Caenorhabditis elegans: one gene and its partner. The protein of the gene in region 1 purifies or fractionates together with the protein of each later gene. This does not show direct contact. Each region holds a gene or a part of one and is shown on either strand. Other genes may lie near its edges.

Region 1 (4,976 bases):
CGTCCCGTATTGTTCTCACGATCCAGATGCTGGTAATTTTTATAGCATTCGATGACATTTTCTTTTTTTGCGTATCGCAAATTTTGAGCTCTAATAAAGCTTCATGGTTTTTGATTTCTATCTTTGCAAAAATAGTTCAAAAGTTTAATCTTATCGTTGAGAGAATTGGAACACCATCGACGGAACAGGTCTCCATGTTTTTTTTAAGTCTTATTTTCTCTCAAGCATCTCTTATCTCTATATTATCCTGATAAGGTACCTGTCTCCACCAACCGAATAATTCAATTTAAAAGAAGCAAAGGTGTTGGTAGAAATTCAGAATTATCTTCTCTTCGGAGATGTTCCTCTACAATTCTGCCTCATTTCTAAATTATTAGTTGTTTCTATTTATAATATTTATTCTATATTTACTCCAATTATTCCGACGTCGCCTCGGATCATTTCCCGCTCAATGTGTCATATCTGCTCTAGTATGCCGAAAATCGTGCCACACACTTTGTACAATTTAAAGAAATAATTTTTATATAAAAACAAGTTGAGATATTGAATAATACACTGTGAACCGTAAAAAGAAGTTAAATTGAGATTTATAAAATGAGAGCGTAAAATATGAAATCATTGGAAACATGGAATTTCACAAATGTGTCTGAATCCTGGATAAAGAGCTGATATTCAATTTTTGATACGTTTAGGAGCTGGAGAATCACAGATGATTTCCAAGTCATCATCCTCTTTTTCCTCTACAGGATCTTCCCATTCATCAATCGTTGTATCTGGAGTCTTTTTGAGATATTCTGCGATGCCAGGCTGCGCGGCATCATTGAAACGGAGATGCATTTTGTCAGCAGTACGGAATGTGTCACTTGACAGGCTGACCTGAAATTAGACGCAAAAAAATATATAGACAATTAATTGCACTACCTGTCCCAACACATCTAATTTCTGCTGAACCATATTCCACATGACATCATCAGCAGTTTTCTTTGCGATCAAATATTGCACGAAGACACTATCCTTCTGTCCGACTCGATGAGCCCGATCCTCGGCCTGCACGAGGTATCCTGGATTGAAGTGAATTTCAGCGAACACGACGACCGATGCGGCGGTCAAAGTGATTCCAACACCTGCTGCAGTGATCGAAAGAACCGCGACACGAATGTTATCATCAGTCTGGAATGAGTCACAAAGAGCCGTTCTTCGATGTGATGGAGTCTTTCCATCGATTCGAATTGATCCAAGTTTTCGTTTGTTCACTTCCACTTGAATAGTGTCAAGAACGATTTGATGATGTGCGAAGATGAGCACTTTCCGTGGTGGAGCATCTGGATAGAAGTAGTTTTCGAGAATGTGCTCACAGACTGCAGCAGCTTTGACAATACCAGTAAGACTGTAGAACTCGAGAAGAGACTCATGTTTTCGCTCCTGAAGCAATTTTTTAAAACAATATTTTAAAATATTGAAAATTACCATTGAATTGACTTTTTCGTAATCAGCCCGAGCCTTCTGCAAATCATCCATTCTAGCATCAATTGTAGGTCCTGACACATAGACAACTTCACGACGTTTTTCAGGAAGATCTTTCAAGACATCAGCCTTTAGACGTCTGATCATCAATCTTTTAAACATGATTGCGGCGAGCTCTTCGCTGTTTGTACATCCTTTTGCCTTAAAAAGATAGTTATTTAAATTTAAAAAAAACGATCCACAGTACCTCAAAGCAAAATCTTCCTTGTTTTCCGTCACAATATCGTATCGCAAATTCATGAAAATTGGTGAATAACTTGTGATCGATCAATCTGATCTGTGTGAATAACTCGGACGGACGTGATAATGCAGGAGTTCCAGAGAGTAGGATCACATGAAGTGCCACTTTTGAAAGATCAGTTGCCACCTTCGTTCGTCGTGCTTTTCCGTCTTTCAGCATGTGAGATTCATCGAAAATAATTGTTCTATACTTTTCCTTTTTAAGTATATCATGTTTCAAAACCATTTGCTCGTAGCTCATAATCGCGACTGTGTTGGAAGTACAAACATCTGGCAAAGGATCGGAGGATTTGTCGACGATGAAAATTCGATGAATTATTGGGAAGAAAGTGTTGAGCTGCTTCTTCCAGGCACCTTTGACAGAGGCTGGACACACAATGAGGAGAGGCCAGTCGGCTCTGAAATTATTTATTACGATCTTAAGAGATTAAACTATCATCGGATCATACTTGTAGTATCTTGCAATTGTCAATGCTTGAACCGACTTTCCTAATCCCATTTCATCAGCTAATAGGATCCTTCCATCTCTTTCCAATGCAAATATCACACCTTCCTTCTGATAAGGAAAGAGTCTTTCGATAAGTGATGGATCCATAACTGTATTCAAATCACTAGGCGCTGCTTTTGGTTTGAAGTTCGTTAATCCTATAATATTCTGAGGAAGAGGTTCGAGTTCCACCTTCACTGCTGTTGCATTCTTTAAAATATTACTGATGGTGATGTGATCGGAAGAAGCTACTGTCCAGGATCTCTTAGCGGGATCGTAATTTCGACTTGGAACTTGTTTGATGAGATCGATTACTGCCGAATGAAATGGATAGAATTCAATCTTAAAATATATGTTTATATATGTTAAATATATGTTAAACTACAAATTTTTAAATTTTATTACCTTAATTCTATCACCAATATCCAACTTGAGTTTCACCCCAATCGTCGGTTTAATCAAACTTGTCGGTTCTGGCTTCTGAACTTGTTTGATGTAGTTGTTTATAGTCGATTGTTTTGTGCTATTGTTCATAGTCGGCTTCATTGGCTGGAAATTCTAAACTTTTTGTCAATTCAAAACTCATTTTTTAAAAACCTGTCGATTTTGTGAGAACATAACGGGAATAACTGGTTTAGGAGGAGCTGGTGGTGCAGCAGATGACGTGGAAGCTGTGGCGTTGGCGGCAGCCTGCTGAAATTAATAAATTTCAGTATTAAAAATATAATTTACATTTGAAAAGGGCATATTTGTAGATTAAACATGATGTGAATTAATTGAGTTATTACTTGATTGCGAAAGGGTGTGTCTGCCATGAATGTACTTTTACAGCTACAGTAACCGCGATTACGGTATTACGTGTTTATTATCTGTGGATAAACACGTAATACTATACTTTTTCTATGTATTTTCACATGAAGTTTAGCGTGTACGTGATGATAATCCAGTATGTTTCTTTAATAAAAGGAATGAAAATCCGAGTAGAAAAAAATTTGAAAAAATGGTGAAATAGTCGCGGATACTGTAGCTTCAAAAAACCCTGACAATCCAAAAACTACCATTTCTCTTTCCCTGTATGCTGCAGCTCGCCTGATCGCCTCTTCTCGTTTCTTGGCAATCGCCTGTCGTTGCTCATCAGTGAGCACCATATTCTGAATATCAACTTAAAAGTTAGAAACAAATCACAGCAAACTCAAGATAAGTCACAACATAGAAACACACAACTCTGATAGAATCACTCGTAGAAGAGAAGAAAGCAAAAAAAAAAACTTTAATTAATTATTAAACTTTGAAAGTGGCAATAAGTACAAGGAAATGGCAAGAAGAATTGTACATGAAGATCAGGGAAAATGGAAGAAAGCACCAAAGATCAGAGGTCGTTGTATTGTACATTTGTAGGTAAAGAAGCAATAAAATACAAATATGGGAATGAAGAATTAGAAGAAATTCAAAGCTCAAACACTGCAAGTGGTAAATACTTTTTGATAATATCCTTATCAGATTCTCGCATTCTGAGACATCGTTCGCTGATTAGTTGATTTCGAAATTCTTTAGCTTTCTGAAAATCCATTTTTATAGAAATTTCCAATTATCATTCAATTTTCCCTACCGTTGTTGAGTAGACTTTCAACTGATGTAAAAATCCAAAATTCGGGTTTGCAGAGAATCTTCTATGATGAATGAAGTCAACTGCGTCCCGCCAGTTGATGGAGAGAGCTGATATCAGGTAGAATGCGACTAAAGTTGCACTTCTGGAGACACCGAGGAAGCAATGAACGAGAACACCTTCTGGAATTTGGGGAAATATACATTTGAAGATAAAATGTATCCTACCTTCTTTAGATCTTGAATCGTGAATTATTCGAACTGCTTCTTCAATAATTCCATCAAACTTCGCACTTGCTGTGTCGGACATTGCATAGAATCGGTAGTTTTTGATGAACTTTTGATTATTCTTGTAGTTAACAACTTCCCGATCTGATACATTGATCACTGTCTGGAAGCATATTACTTTAATTGTTACACTTTTTTCATTAAAAAAATATATTTACCGTAATATTTTTCTCCTTCAAAAGTTCGCTGTTCTGAGACACAGTTCTCCCGGATAAGTAGAGATTTGGCAGAATCTCTGAAATCTTCCTACTTGACAAATTGTGAAGTTTTGTGGATTTTGATGCATCCATTGGGATGTTTCCAACAGCTTTCCGAAGTTTGTCGTAACAACTTCTGAATCCATTAGGTTCCCCCGTTTCAGCTTCGGACATCTGGAAATATAAATGAAAGAACGTTTGTCGTGTTACACTGTAATGTCAAGATTATGATCCAGACGCAGAATTTCGCGCCAAAAATACGGTGCCCGGTCTCGACACGACAAATTTCGTTAAATGAGAAAAGGTATGTGCACATAAAGATTACTGTAACGTTCAAAACTCGTTTTTCCCGAATTTTCATTTATTTTTTCATAGATTTTCTCACGACTTTTCAAAATTTATGTTTATATTTTTGTTTGAGATTTTTTAATAATTTAATGAAACATGTATTTTTTAAATCAAAAACTATGCCGGTTTGACAAAACAAAAGTTTGAAACTACAGTACTCTTTAAAGGCGCACACGATTCTGTTCTAAGGAATAATTTTCAAATATGTTTTCATCTGATTTTAAACAGTCTCATCGAGAGCATTAGTCTTAAATTTTCAGTTTTATTGATTTATCTGAAAACCATTG
Region 2 (7,594 bases), 2.0 Mb from region 1:
TTTATTATCAGCCGCATTCACTAGAATCTCATCGAAAATCTTCAATAATCCAGGTGGATAAGTGACTTCTTTTGCAATCATTTTTCTATTTTCTGAGTCTCTGAGCCAAATAATTTGATCTTCTCGCATGGCGACACCTCCAATATATGTATCGGGTCGAAGTAATACATGTTCAGTTGGACTTTTCTTTTCATATTTTGCTGCAGCCTCTTCAAAAAGAAATATTTTAGCTAAAGTTTTGAAATTCGATTATTACCAGAAGCAAAACTAGTAGAAGGAATATTATTACAAAATGAACGAGTATTTTTTAAAACTACAGTAGTCCTATGTGACGTGGAAATGCAGAACTTCAAGTGACGTAGAACCCGTAATCGATGCATAACTTATGAAACCTAAATATATATATTCTATATTTTAAAATTGTAAACTGAAATAGATTGGAGACATCAAAACTGTACTGACTATTAAAAAATATAATGTCTTTTTTAAAACATTTTATTCGCAGAGAAAATCAAAATGAAAACCAAAGAAACTATTTGGCAAACCCTTACGAGGTAAATACGTGTTTAGATCATACATATGAGATGCTGTTTTCAAAGGGAGATTTTAAACGATTGAACAATAAACAAAATAAAAATTAAATAAATAAATAAATACTTAAAAAAAAAGGAAAACATAACTGGGAAGGAAATAACAACAATTCTTTAACTTTTCAGCAAACGGCCGGTGCAGTTTTCAGCTCCGCAGTGGCATGTGAGTTGTGTGGTAGCCGTCTGATCTTGAGTATATTGATAGTCCCAGGTTAGCTCATCGCCGGCTTTCACGTATTTTCGTGTGAAAAACGCGACCCATGGAAGACGAAGATCATGCGTATCGTACATGACGTGTTGAACGTGCACATTCGGATCGCAAGAGTGATTCAAGAATCTGAAAGTTATCGAAAATTTATGATTGTATCTTTGGAGTGCCGGTTTTTCAAATTTTCTCAATTGTATTATAGTCTCCAAAACATACCAAATGACTTTTTACGAATTTTAGTTTTTTTAAGATGGAGTAGAACCGTTTTGAAATTTGTTTCCTTTTTTTGCTTTTTTCTTCACTTTTCAACGTGAAATACTGTTTGTTAATTTTTCAGAATTTTTTCCATAGAGAAAGGTTGATAAACCAAAAGAAGAGGCAAACGGTTGGTTTGTCCATTTTTTATCATTTAAAGCAAAATCTCTAAAAAATTTTTTTAATGAATAAAATTGTGATCTTACCTTCCAAGATTTCCTCTCTGTTTTGCATCTATAACATACAATGGAAACGGCTCAAAATACTTATCCCAATTGAAAACGGGTTCGTCTTTACTTTCAATATTATCCTTTTCCATTGAATCTCTTGGAGTGGTGTCATCTTTCTCCACACTTCCTCCTTTACCGGATTTTTTAGATTGCTTTCTTTTCTGTCTTGTCAGCCGTTTTGTTTCTTCACCACTCTCCGAAGAGTCTTGACGTTTCACCATTTTGTTCATTACATCATCACCGGAGTCACCATCACTTCCTTCTTCGTCATCATAATCTGACTCGTCTCCTCCGTAACCAAAATCAGTTTCATGATCTTCGCGACCCTTTTCCAGCTCCACGGTATCCTTCAAGTCCAAATCAGCGAAGTATTGATCCGCATTTCTTAGTTCATCAGCCAAATCATCCGTCAGTATAGCACCTACATACGTGCAAATGAACGTACTTTGAGGAATATCCGTCAAAGCTCGGACTCCCCATCCGGATTGAGCAGTTTTGAAGATCTGAAGAAAAAACAATAATTGGTATGTATCATCGTTAAATAAACTCACATGCATAGGATACTTGATATTGTTCTGAACAACTCTGTTGTAACAAGACTTTCGATGGCATGAACACTGATCGTTGCATTCATAGAGTCCACTGATAACCTTACTGCTGAGAAGACGATTTTGATAGTGAGGAACTCTGAAAAAAAATAGTTTTAAAAATTTATTTTGTTTTTCTGAACTCTCATACAATTCGTCGTGTCCGTCGAATTGTAAATTATGGGGGAGTCGTTTCATTGCTTCAATGGACAATTGTTGGCATTCACACTTCGATGCGTCACTGCAATCACCATCACAAGAGCATCCAGAACAGAAATCTCGGCTAACACTCGATATATCCACTTGATCATTGTATTGGAATCGTCGTTTCGAATATTCCAATGATGGAGGCTCATCGTTATCCACGCTGTTCACTAGTGGAATTGGGATTCCTTCGGTTCCAAGCGAAAAATCAGCAACCTTCAAATATTTATCGTCAACAGTAATATAAGTGGCAGTATCGATTCGTGCATCAAATGAAAAACAATCAATCGTCAATAAACTTCTGGTGACATGAATATATTCAGAGACGTCGCTGATCTGGTGAAGAGCGGCTCCGCATGGAGAAAAGTAAATAATGTTTTTCTTCACTGCTCCCCGCTTCTTTCCAGTACTCATTGTGTACATAATTCGTCTCCAACCACACAAAAGAGGAGTATGTATTGGTGAATTTCGATGGAATCTTGCTTCATACGGATCCGCATCCATTTTCTGTAGACAATCTGGACCACATTGAGCATGAGCCTTGAGATTTTCCAATGGTGTTAGGACGGGTATTGGAACAATAATCTTGTTAAATAAGAATTGATTTTTCTTTCTTATTTCAATTTCTCTCTTCGATTTTGCATCATTTGTCGAAGCGACATTCTGATTGGTGCCCGTCGTTTTCTTTTTAACGACTTGTTGGTGATTCCTCTCTGGCATCGAACGAATCATGTCGGTTGGCTCGAACTGTGATTGAAGCTGGTCTTTTCTGCGTTGCGACAGATTGTTATTTGTCGAGATCATGTGCTTCTTGTGCTGAAATAATACAAAATTTTCATGATTTCTTTCTCCTTTTTTCATATTTTCGGAACCTTTTTTTTGAAAACGTTGAAAAGTTTGTGTCCATTTTATAGAAAAAACTTTGAAGATGAAACTTGGATATTATTAAAAGCAAAAATTGATTTCACAGCTTTTTTTTGGAAGTTTCCCTTTTCGATTTCTCTAACAAAACATCCAAAAAACCTTGATTATCAATTATAAGAAATCAAATCAAATAAAAATAAAATAATTTTAGAAAATCCTCGTTTTGTATCAATTTTTCAAATAAAATCTTACCGCTGCGCCTTCCAATCTATGAGATCCTCTATAGATTTTCTCGTCAATATGCTGATGATTTCTATCATTGCACGGAAAGTCTGTACATCTATTCCCAGGAGCCAATGGATTCGGTGCTTCGTGTCTCACAATAGCAAAAGCTCGATCAGTTCCAATCACTGTCACCATTTTCTTACGTCGATCAACAAGAGAATTGTACAAACAGATTCGCATTCCAACTGGCATCTTGAGAAGTGGCCATTCCGGAAATTCTTTCATAAAATCCCGAATATACGCTGATCTGTGAGATTGTCGAATCCAATGAAATGTCAAAAAATAATCCAGATTTCCTTCCTTTCCTACTGGCTGTCCAACCATAATAGCAATCTGAGCAGCATTCATCTTCGCAATCATTTCTTTGAGAGAAAATACACTTTTCTTTTCAGAAGCAACTTCATAACCTGGTTCACCAGGCATTGTCGGAGCTGACACGTATGCATCGGTTCCGTTGTCGAAGAAAATTAGAAAATCGGATCTATGAGCTCTGCGACGTCCGGCAGCTGTACCGGTAAGCCAAATTGTTTTTTTTCCAAATTGGCTCGAGGAAATAACTTGGCGACAGGCAACTCGAAGACCTGAAAACAATGATTTTAGATACTTCGATCATGAAACTGATATCTAGGCCAGGTTGAGTTTTTGGATTTTTTTGTTGTTTAATGGATTCTGACAAACATCTGCTTTTTTGGGACCACAAAAAACAACTGCTACACTTGAAACGTTTTTTTGTGTACATAATATATTTTACAAGTTTTTCATGAAATATTTGGATTTGAATTTGTTTCAAACTTTTTCAAATTTAGTGTTTAGCACCATTTTTTTCTAGATCAACCGAAAATCCAATCATGGAAAATTTTAAATGGTTTTTCGTTGAAAAATATACGGGACGAAAATTCTAGATTATCAAAATTTTGTCAATTTTGAGAAGAGAAAAACGGACTTGATAGTGAATCAAATTTTGATTTTTTTAAATTTAACACAAAAACTAAAATTTTCGATTTTCTAATAAAATCGAAAAACCGAAACCCTTATTCTACATAACAGATGTAATATTAAATATCAATTTTAACTTAAAACTCACCAACATCACCAAATGTATTCAAACTCGGGTCATACATTCCCTGCGTAGTCATGGCTAAATCTCTGATGTTACACTCTCTGATCTGACTTGTGTCGATAAATTTAACCTTATAGGTCATTGCATCCACACGATCCTGAACTATGGCGTATGTTAATTCTGCATCGTCAGAAGGATTGGCGCGAGCCAGACAGAAATCTCCAACTGTCAAAACGAAGAATTTTTCGAAGTCAGTCTTGGTGTCGTAAACTTTCTGAGCTTCGGCGATGGCGAGCTTCATCTCGGCTTTTAATGTCTCCATTATTGCACGAGAGTTGATAATTTCGGTTCGTTGATCGGATGTAAAACTCTCATTCACAGCAGCCTCAGTGCCATCAAAATCGGGAATTTTCTCGTTGACAAGTTGAATTATTTCATTACGGCTGCCAACGGCGTTCTCAAAATGTTGTTTGAATTCTGCTGATGTTGACTCGATTTCGTGGAAGAAGTCGTTGAGCTCTCTAAAAGGTATTTAAGTGATAATTATGAAAATACTTTCAAAACAGTTGTGAGTTTGATTAATACTCGCCTGCCAATTTTATCCTGCGCACCGTTTTCCTTCTGATCATCCCAGTATTTGACTGCCGTATCAATGATATTATTAGAAAATTCCACTTGATCGAAATTCAAGAGTAAATCATCAGTCGGATTTGAATCAAAATCTAATCGACACGGATGCCCTTCTTCGCGTAATCGAATCAGAGTGAGCATGAGAATTGCTGATGCAGGTGATGTGACAGTAAACTGCATGAATCTCAACGGTCCATTTTTCGAATTCAATCCAGTATTTGGATAATCAAGAAAAGTGACACATTTTTCTATACTCCAATCGTCGATACGATCATCACATAGAACATTAAAGTCGACATCTTCTTCGTTGTTGGTATCGAGAACGCCAATACAAATAGCAGCGACTAGCACGTCTTCATCAATTAATTCGTATTTCTGTGAAAGTCCCTCAAGTGATTCACTTTCCTTGAACGATTTGACAATTTCCTTGCATTTATCGACATTTACAACCGGTGAATCGCTGATAGATTCTGTCAGATAGTTCGGATTTGTGAATTCGAAATTTTTAAATTGTTCTGGAAGGAGCCTTGTGAACCACGATAAAAATTCGTTGATTTTCAGTCTTCGAACTGCTTGTTTTTCTTCATCAGTTTTGACTATCGAATCTTCTATAATAAGATCTTCCTGAAAATAAAATAATTTTATTATTGTTTCCTTTATTGCAATCTAACCGCCTCTTCCTGTTGCTTGAGTTCAGCTTCATCTTTGGCAGTCTTCTCCGCATCAACCCGTCTTTGTGCTGCAACAGCTTCTTGTTCACTCTCATTTCCGAAGAACGAATTAAGAGCTTGAGCTACTTGCTCAGATGGCGCATCAAGGAGCGCTTGGACATCTGAATTAGCGTTAAGAATCCCTTCAACTAAATCAGAATCTTCATCTGTTCCTTCTTCTGCTTTTCCATTATCCAGAATCTCCTGTATTTCTGTTTCATCGTAGTCGTCCACTGTTAGGTCAATTGTCTGAAAATCGATAAATTGAATTATATGACAATGAATCTCCGAAGCGAAATTTTAAATAATTTCACTCACAGCAGTGACGAATGAACTTTGTTCCTGTGTTTCCATCCCATCATCCGAAAGAATACTGCTCGTATCTACGTTATTCGATGGTTCTTGTTGGTCCATCTGAATATTAGATAAAAATTAATTGAGGCAATGCCCTGAAGAGTTGCAGATACATATTTCGGATTTTTTCAAACCTGAAGAAATAATTTTTACCTATACGGACAGTATTGATAATTAAAAGAAAAAATTAAAATGGTTTGTATTTCAGTTATTCTACATGAAAAGAGAAGGCGATAAAGAAAATCAGAGGGAAAATATGGTACATATACAAAAGCCCTGGTTTTTTTTGGCTTCAAATAGTTTGAAAAATGTTCCACGTTTTGATTGAAAGTAAAGCTAAACGGTTTCGACGACGAGAAAATTGCTGACTGAGGGGAAATACTAGGGAACATAATATATTAGGAGAATGCTTGAGAGAAAATGATGAAAAACAGACATGTAAAGCTAGAGGTTGGCAAAAATTGATGATTCTGAATTATTAGAAAAGGCGAGTAGTACCCGAGAAAAAAAATAGGACCTTGTTTTTGTAATGAAAAGATTAAAATGATGAACATGGGTAAGAAGTGTTGAAAAAGGAAAGAAATTCAATTGCTTTTCTTATCGCCTCTAAGGATCTCAATGGTTTCATCCGCATCACTCTCCCGTCTGATTCCACATCGTAGTTGACATATCCTGCAAAAAAATTAATAAGAATTTAAACTTTAAATTGCACAGCTTACCACTTCCAGATTTGCCTTCTCATTGAAGCAGTCAATTGATTGAAGAGAAATGCGACAGACAACACGACGAATAGAGTATTATAGGCAACAACGACTCGAAATGATCCAAGCCATTGGAGCGATGAGTGGGAGCCGAGAAGATCAAAAGTTGTCATTCCAACTGTGTTAACAGCTACTGGGAGAGCGGATGCAACAACAAGAACTATTGAAGAATTAATAATTATCGTTGGCATTGGAGTATCTTTTCGAACAGGTCGAAGAGAACGAAGAACCGGAAGGGAGTACAGCCCAACGAAAGATGTGATCATCACGTAAATAATGAGAAGAGTTTCGATGCAAGCCCCAAAAAGTCCGAATGAATGACGAGTGTGTACCTGAAAAATTATGTACTTTTAGAAATTATATTTAAAATCTCCGAAGCTTACCTCAATGTATTGAGCATAGACAGGTAAACTGCGATACCCGAATAACAATTTCAAGGTATTTGTAGCCACCATGATTAGAGAGCATGTCGTCAAAACTAACAAAGCAGCGGCCGCTACTGGGAATCGAAGACTCATGAAAAGTTTCACAAGTCGCCCCTGCTTCTCAATTGCTCTTTTGTATAATTTCGAGGATTTTACTGTGTGAAGAACTGGCTTCCAGATGGCTTCCTCGGATTTGGTGCGACGAGCAGGTGATAATGGTGTTGATGATGCCTCAGACGAAGATGCTTCATGGAAATCTCCAGAAGCAAAAGGATCCACAAGAAGTGATGAGGATGGATTGAGGCCAGTTTCGGAATTGTGTTTCCAGCGAGAAAATCTTAAATCAACATTGTTAAATAAAACTGTTTAAAACATACAAAAATTAAATACCTTGAAGAATAATAATTTGCCGAAAATGAGCTCCTTGGAGG

Evidence for each region. Proteins that work in one complex are often made in the same cells at the same time.
Region 2: the proteins of smrc-1 (region 1) and met-2 purify together in Caenorhabditis elegans (affinity purification with western blotting, with the first as the bait; one study listed by BioGRID). This does not show direct contact.

The regions. Positions count from the first base shown.
Region 1 is NC_003281.10:6,389,372-6,394,347, reverse strand, and holds smrc-1 (SWI/SNF-related matrix-associated actin-dependent regulator of chromatin subfamily A-like protein 1 homolog), read right to left. Parts: upstream 3,405-4,976; 5' UTR 3,400-3,404; coding exon 3,310-3,399; intron 2,945-3,309; coding exon 2,849-2,944; intron 2,810-2,848; coding exon 2,657-2,809; intron 2,594-2,656; coding exon 2,214-2,593; intron 2,163-2,213; coding exon 1,712-2,162; intron 1,666-1,711; coding exon 1,468-1,665; intron 1,423-1,467; coding exon 922-1,422; intron 877-921; coding exon 673-876; 3' UTR 509-672; downstream 1-508. Other genes in the region: C16A3.2 (protein-tyrosine-phosphatase), read right to left, coding at 3,699-3,809, 3,861-4,039, 4,085-4,247, 4,303-4,515. UniProt on the Caenorhabditis elegans protein: ATP-dependent annealing helicase that catalyzes the rewinding of the stably unwound DNA.
Region 2 is NC_003281.10:8,373,743-8,381,336, reverse strand, and holds met-2 (Histone-lysine N-methyltransferase met-2), read right to left. Parts: upstream 6,038-7,594; coding exon 5,942-6,037; intron 5,873-5,941; coding exon 5,585-5,872; intron 5,538-5,584; coding exon 4,873-5,537; intron 4,805-4,872; coding exon 4,308-4,804; intron 3,805-4,307; coding exon 3,191-3,804; intron 2,891-3,190; coding exon 2,022-2,890; intron 1,971-2,021; coding exon 1,835-1,970; intron 1,787-1,834; coding exon 1,260-1,786; intron 928-1,259; coding exon 705-927; 3' UTR 474-704; downstream 1-473. Other genes in the region: R05D3.12 (Putative DNA topoisomerase 2, mitochondrial), read right to left, coding at 1-209, 257-380; lmbr-1 (LIMR family protein R05D3.2), read right to left, coding at 6,562-6,649, 6,697-7,070, 7,122-7,500, 7,554-7,594. UniProt on the Caenorhabditis elegans protein: Histone methyltransferase which is required for the mono- and dimethylation of 'Lys-9' of histone H3. This increases the efficiency of set-25-mediated trimethylation of histone H3 'Lys-9'.